2 linked regions of the Oryctolagus cuniculus genome follow. The protein of the gene in region 2 purifies or fractionates together with the protein of the main gene of each other region. This does not show direct contact. Links are inferred from orthologs where the notes say so. Each region holds a gene or a part of one and is shown on either strand. Other genes may lie near its edges. The genes, in order: DHX15 and CMTR1.

Region 1 (3,812 bases), on a different chromosome or scaffold from region 2:
CTCTCTGCTATGGCATAGGAAGGCAGCAGAAGATGGCCCAAGGACTGCACCCGTATGGGAGACCTGGAGGAAGCTCCTGGCTCCAAACATTGGAACAGCCCAGCTCCGGCCTTTGAGGCCATCTGGGGAGTGAACCAGCAGATAGAAGCTCGCTCTTGCTACCCACTCTATCTCTGCCACTGCCTCTCTGTAACACTGCCTTTCAAACAAAGAAATAGTTAAAAGAAAAAATTATATTCTGGAAAATTCACAAGGCCCATGAGATCAAAAGAAAAAAAGCTCATAACAATCTCTATGAAATGGTTTCCTAAAATGTTGTTTTATCCAAATAGCTTTTCTTGCATTTAGCCTTTGAAGAATTTAATAGCATACCTATAAATGCCCTGCTGTAAATAGAAATAGTAGGCAGGCACCGCGGCTCACTAGGCTAATCCTCCACCTAGCGGCGCCGGCACACCGGGTTCTAGTCCCGGTCGGGGCGCCGGATTCTGTCCCGGTTGCCCCTCTTCTAGGCCAGCTCTCTGCTGTGGCCCGGGAGTGCAGTGGAGGATGGCCCAGGTACTTGGGCCCTGCACCCCATGGGAGACCAGGAAAAGCACCTGGCTCCTGCCATCGGATCAGCGCGGTGCGCTGGCCGCAGTGCGCCGGCCGCAGTGGCCATTGGGGGGTGAACCAACGGCAAAGGAAGACCTTTCTCTCTGTCTCTCTCTCTCACTGTCCACTCTGCCTGTTAAAAAAAAAAATAGAAATAGTACACTTGTGGGGCAAACACTGTAGTCTAGTGGGTGAAGCAGCCATCAGCATCCCATATCAGACTGCCAGTTCAAAACCCTGCTGCTGTTTCCTATCCAGCTCTCCATCAATGTGCCTGGGAAAACAATGAAGATGGCTTAAGTACCTGGCACCCTGCCATCCTTGTGGAAGACCAGGATGGAGTTCCTGAAATCTGGCTTCCACCTGGCCTAGCCCAGTCCTTAATGCCATCTGGGGAGTAAACCAGCAGATGGAAGATATCTCTGTCACTCTACCTCTCAAATGAAAAACTTCTGAAAAAAGAAAAGCTACTACACATGAAAATCTGTTGTCTAAAAATGAAGTTCTAACTAGGAAACTTCACTGATCCCTTCAATCCTCAGCACATGCAAAAGAACGAACAAAAAGAAGACAAACATTTTGAGGGTGGATGGACACCTAACTTCACTCATAACCAAAACAACCAATTTTGAATTGAAGAAATGCATGATTTTACAGGAGCTGGGATTCCAATTCATGCATCAGCAAAATAACACAACCCAGGCTGCATCAAAATTGATACAACTGCTAAATCCTGAAATTCTAAAAGCACTTAACACTCTTGCTATAATTAACACAATCAGTCGCCAAAGAAAAAAAAATTTCCCAGAGTACATAAATAAAAGGGTCATGTTTAATATGTTAGTACAATCAGGTTGAAGAAAAACTTCAAACAACGGGATAAGAAAAATATAGTTAATATCTAAATCAAGGCCGCTGCTTGATAGAAATGTGTCAAAGGCTATTAACGAAGGAAACAATGACAATACCTCTTGACCAGTTAAGAAAAGCAGAAGATCTCCCTCCTCCTCTTCACACATATGAATCTGGATCACTGTTCGGATTGCTGCTTCAAGATAATCTCTCTCCGGTTCTGGAGTATAGAAGATCTCAACAGGATGTGTACGCCCAGGAATAGTTAAGAGTGGACAGTTATCGAAGTAAATCTGGAATTTTCCTGCATCCAGAGTAGCACTCATAACTATCACCTGAAAGAAAACAGTAAACTACTTGAAATTGTCTTCAAGGGTTCTTACATGGTCTCAAAAAACAGAATAGTAAAGGTAAAAATATTTTCATTGTTATCTATTATAAAGCTTAAAAATTTCAAATACACTGTGATTTAAATATCAAATGCAGAAAAGCCTGAACTACAGCAAGTTATGTTATTTATTACAAATTATTTAAAAATTTTAAGTAAAACATTAAACATGTAAATTTACATGAACCAACACTTTCAAAACCAAAACTTGGGGACCCGCACCATGGTGGCACAGTAGGTTAATCTCCACCTACAGCACCAGCATCCCATATGGGCGCCGGTTCTAGTCCCCAGATGCTCCTCTTCCAATCCAGCTCTCTGCTTTCGCCTGGGAAAGCAGCAGAAGATGGGCCAAGTCCTTGGGCCCCCCGTACCCACGTAGGAGACCGGAAAAAAGCACCTGGCTCCTGGCTTCAGATCAGCTCAACTATGGCCGTTGTGGCCATTTGGAGAGTGAACCAATGGAAGGAAACCTTTCTGCTTCTCCTCTCACTGTCTGTAACTCTGCCTCTCAAATAAATAAATAAAATTTTAAAAACAAAACTAGCTGGTGCCGCGGCTCAACAGGCTAATCCTCAGCCTAGCGGCACCGGCACACCGGGTTCTAGTCCCGGTCGGGGCGCCAGATTCTGTCCTGGTTGCCCCTCTTCCAGGCCACCTCTCTGCTGTGGCCCAGGAGTGCAGTGGAGGATGGCCCTGCACCCCATGGGAGACCAGGAGAAGCACCTGGCTCCTGCCTTCGGGTCAGCGCAGTGTGCCGGCCGCGGCGGCCATTGGAGGGTGAACCAACGGCAAAGGAAGACCTATCTCTCTGTCCACTCTGTCAAAAAAAACCACTTATGAAATTATATGTCAAAGGACTGATAAGATAATGTCAGAAAATATTCAGTCAGCTTTAAACCCTTAACACGGCAACCCTGGCCAAGATCTAAGCGGTATAGGAGAGAGAAAAAAAAAAGGAAGACACAAGTGTAAACAAATGTCCTTCTGATGAGTGCTTGTCCTGGTAGTTGTTCCAGCGTTATCAGTGATTTTGAGGGCTGAGATGACAGGAATCTGAGCAACAAAGACACTGCTTAAAGAAATGAGCCCTCTTGTACGTAATGAAGGGATGAAAGACAAGGTGAGCAACAGTTACAAAAATATGCTAAAAGGGGCCAGGACGGTGGCATGGTGGGTAAAGCCACTGCCTATGGCTCCAGCATCTCATATGGGCACTGGGTCAAACCCCAGATACTCCACTTCTGATCCAGCTCCCTGCTAATGTGCCTGGGAATCCAGAATTAGATTGCCCAAGTGTTTGGGCCCCTGTACTCATGTGGGAGACCTGGAAGATCCTGGCTTCAGATCAGCCCATTCCAGCCCTTACAGCCATCTGTGGTGCAAAGCAGCAGATGGAAGCACTCTCTTTCTCTCTGAAACTCTCTTTCAAATAAATAAATTAATTAATATGCCAAAAGAAAGGATCAGAAACTAGTAAGATATGCCATAAAAATATATTACTGGGGCCGGTATGTGCTCTAAGTTACTGCCTGCAACACTGACATCCCACTTGAGTGCTAGTTATGTTCCTAGCTGTTCCACTTCTGATCCCACTCCCTGCAAATGCTCCTGGGGAAGCAGTGGAAGACGGTCGCAGTATTTGCGTCCTGTTAACCCATGCAGGAGACCTGGATGGAGTTTCAGGATCCTGCTTCGGCCTTGGCCCAGTCCCAGGGTTGTGGCTATTTGGAGAGTTAACCAACAGATGGACAACTCATCAGTCTATCACTCTTCATCCCCACTCTGGAGAAATAAATTCTAAAATAAAGACCTAGCAAAGTTAGCAGATTAGAAACAAAGATAGATACTTTTGGTGGCTTCTTTTACAGGTAGTTTTTTTTTAATGGCTGATTAGTGATTAACCATGAAGTAAGTGTTTCCCATTTCATACACATACACAAAGAACTAAATGAGCAAAAGAAATTATTTCACCTTT
Region 2 (3,812 bases):
GCCAGGGCTCTGGGGCCTCAGTGACTCCTTCCACATCTAGAGTTAGGCCACCGCCTGTTTCCACCACAGATGTCAGACTTACCTGAATTAGCTCAAAGAATTTAGATTTCGGGTCAGAGGAAGAAGGCGCGACTCGAGCCTGGTCTGGGATCTGAAAGGAGAGCGCGGAGAGCCCCGTCACGAGCCCTGCTGACCAAGGCTGTGTGTGAGCAGGTGCAGGCAAGGGGCCTGTTCAGACTGCAGCAGAGGAAATGGAACACAAGAAAGGGAGCTGGACTGGGCTGGCAGCGTGGCGTGGGGGGTAAGGCTGCCGCCTGCAGTGCCGCCATCCCATGGGGTGCCAGTTCATGTCCTGGGGCTTCACCTCCGATCCAGCTCCCTGCTAGTGGCTTGGGGAAAACAGATGCAGATGGCCCCTGCACCCATGGAAGAAGCTCCTGGTTTCAGCCTGGCCCAGACCCAGCCATTGTGGCCATCTGGGGACTGAACCAGCAGATAGAAGACTCTCTGAAGCTCTTTCAAATAAATAAATAAATCTTGAAAAGGAAGGAAGGAAGGGAGGGAGGGAGAAAGGGAGAAAAGAGAAAAAGAAGGAAGCTGGAAAGTGGGCGAGGGAGTTGGGCGATTCCAGACCTGTGGTCGCACACTTCTCTCTGGGGCGCTTTGTGGGCAGGGACCACCAGTAGCAAAATGAAGCCTGTCCACCTCCCACCCCATCCCTTCTGACCCACCTACTGACAAACTGGCAGTGCCAGGCCGAGGAGGCAGCGCCCTGCAGCGCCCAGAAGCCAGCTCTGCAGTACTGTTAGAGGCAGCCACTTTCCAGGCTGGGTGGGCGGGGATCCGCAACTGACAGGGCTCGGGGCAGCCCTGCTCTCCAGAGCTTCTCGGCCCGACAGTGACAACAGGCCCGGGAGACACTCACCCCCCAGAGCTGCAGGCACTCTTTGCGGATCTCTGCCTGCCGAGGTTCACTCAGGGTCCTGAGAAAACGAAGCCAGGAAATGGTTAAATCCTCCGAAAGCACAGGGGCAAGCTCCCTGTGTGCCCCTCACAACCCACAACCCAGAGGAGGCCGACACCGGAACGCACGTGCACACACAAAGGCCGTGCCCCGCGGCCAGGTGCTCACTGCACTCAGGGCCGCTCCTCCTGACAACAGGCGTACGTGGAATGGGATTACCGCCCCTTCCACCGCGGGACACCTGCTCTCTGTGGAAAGGGGAGGTCAGAGGTGGTTCTGCTCACTGTTGGCCCCACAGAAGGAAGGTGACTACCCCCCTAACACACACACCTATGCCGGGGCCCCCACACAGCCCTCTTCCGATCACCCTTCAGCACGTCCTGGGTCCTCCTCTGTGACACGCCACAGAAGACCCGTCAGCAGAGGTCCACACGCCTCGTGCAGCTGCCACAACTCCTGGTCACCCCCACCGGAGGTTCTCCCTGCCCACCCCTTACTCTGTCGCCTGAACACTGTGTTTCACTTGTGCCATGCTGCTGACTCTGAGGCACTGCTAGGAACTCTTCCTGTCTCCTTTTCCTGGTTATTTGCCCAATGGCGACTTATAGTCTCTGAGGACCAGTTCACACCATAGGCTTCTGTGACATCCTTCACAGTCCACGTGTGTGTTGTTGCAATGAAATAAATAGAGCTTTGGGGAAGAGCAAACAAATCTTCCCTTGAAATAGGTGAATTCAGAAAAGGAGGCAACACTTACGTGTCTTGAACAAAGGCGTGGATTTTGGCCAGAGCTTTGATCTGCAGACTACAATGGCTAGTAGAGAAAGAAATGGTTTGATCTCAGAAGGATTTCCACACAAGACAGCCACATGACATCAGGACATAACCAGAGCTACGGCCATCTATATTTAGGGAATAGGCTGAGTGGTTGAGAGAGGGCCACTCCAAGGTGCAGTTCTATGGAGCCCACCGGAGGCTAAGGGCAGAGGGAAAGAATCATGTCGAACCCTCTAGACACTCAATCCCAAGTCCTACTGAAGAGAAAGCTTTTGATTCTACCTTTACATAATTTGAAATCAGGGGCCGGCACGGTGGTGCAGCAGGTTAAAGCCCTGGCCTGAAGCGCCAACATCCCATATGGGTGCTGGTTCTAGTCCCAGCTGCTCCTCTTCCAATCTAGCTCTCTGCTATGACCTGGGATGGCAGTAGAAGATGGCCCAAGTCCTTGGGCCCCTGCACCCACATGGAGACCCGGAAGAGGCTCCTGGCTTCGGATTAGCACAGCTCCGGCTGTTGCGACCTTCTGGAGAGTGAACCACTGGATGTAAGACCTCTCTCTCTCTCTCCCTCTCTCTGTAACTCTTTCAAATAAATAAAGTAAATCTTTAAAATAATAATAATTTGAAACCAGTGACAAATATTGTAATTAAAGCAACAACAAATCCTAGTTGCAGTTCAATTACATACTAAGCTGGCTGAACCCATTCATATTGATAGCTGCCCTTTCTTTTTTATTCTTCCCTATTACACATAACATCTTGCATTGAATAAAAAGTTAGGAGGCATACAAAGCAAGAAAATGTGACACAATGATGGCGGCAAACGGCCCAATAGAACAAGACCCAGAGATGGCTGAAACACTGAAAGTCTGGATGGGGCCTTTAGATAGTGATAAACATGTTAAAAGATCTACTGGAAAAGGCAGGCAATACACACAAAAAGATGGAGAATTTGAGCAAAGATAAAGTAACTTCTGTTTTACTTAAAGATTTTTATTTTTCTTTGAAAGGTAGAGCAATAGAGAGAGAAACAGATTTTCCATCCTCTGGTTCACTCCCCAAATAGTCACAAAAATGGCTGGTGCTAGGCCAGGCTGAAGCCAGGAGCCCAGAGCTCCAGCGAGGTCTCCCAAGTGAGTGCAGGGGTCCAAGCACTTGGGCCATCATCTGCTGCTTTCCCTGGCAAGTTAGCAGCGAGCTGGATCAGAAGCAGATATAAGGTGGAACCCAAACTGATGATCCACTATGAGATGCTGGGATCACAAGCATAGCTCAACCCACTGTGCCACAACACCAGCCCCAGTACCTGTATTTTTTTTTAATATTTTATTTGAAAGGTAGAGTAAAAGAGAGAGAGAGAGAGAATCTTTCATCTACTGGTTCACTCCTGAGATGGCTGCAATGGCTAGGGCTGGGCAAGGCCAAAGTTAGGAGGCCTGGAGCTCCATCTGTGTCTCCCACATGGGTGGCAGGGGCCCAAGTGCTGGATCATCTGCTGCGGCCCTCCCAGGCTGCCATCGAGCACGCAGCCGAGACTTGCACCAGGCACTCTGATGTGAGATGTGGTGTCCCAAGCAGTGTCTAAACCGCTGTGCCAAATATCTACCCCAAGACATTGAATTTTAAAATTTCTCAAAACAGAAACTCCAGGCTCAAATGGCTCCACTATCAATGATTTAAAAAATATTAACTGCCGGCCGGCGCCGCGGCTCACTAGGCTAATCCTCCGCCTAGCAGCGCCGGCACACCAGGTTCTAGTCCCGGTCGGGGCGCCGGATTCTGTCCCGGTTGCCCCTCTTCCAGGCCAGCCCTCTGCTGTGGCCAGGGAGTGCAGTGGAGGATGGCCCAGGTGCTTGGGCCCTGCACCCCATGGGAGACCAGGAAAAGCACCTGGCTCCTGGCTCCTGCCATCGGATCAGCGCGGTGCGCCGGCCGCAGCGCGCCGGCCGCAGCGGCCATTGGAGGGTGAACCAACGGCAAAGGAAGACCTTTCTCTCTGTCTCTCTCTCTCACTGTCCACTCTGCCTGTCAAAAAAAAAAAAAAAAAAATATTAACTGCCAATCTTATA

The links.
Region 1: the proteins of CMTR1 (region 2) and DHX15 purify together in Homo sapiens (co-immunoprecipitation; 3 studies listed by BioGRID and IntAct, with this or other methods). This does not show direct contact. The link is inferred for Oryctolagus cuniculus from reciprocal best matches to the Homo sapiens genes CMTR1 and DHX15.

Annotation. Positions count from the first base shown.
Region 1 is NC_091433.1:19,757,319-19,761,130, forward strand, and holds part of DHX15 (ATP-dependent RNA helicase DHX15), read right to left. Parts: coding exon 3,809-3,812; intron 1,782-3,808; coding exon 1,563-1,781; intron 1-1,562.
Region 2 is NC_091436.1:132,179,144-132,182,955, forward strand, and holds part of CMTR1 (cap-specific mRNA (nucleoside-2'-O-)-methyltransferase 1), read right to left. Parts: intron 1,779-3,812; coding exon 1,722-1,778; intron 984-1,721; coding exon 926-983; intron 152-925; coding exon 83-151; intron 1-82. UniProt on the Homo sapiens protein: S-adenosyl-L-methionine-dependent methyltransferase that mediates mRNA cap1 2'-O-ribose methylation to the 5'-cap structure of mRNAs.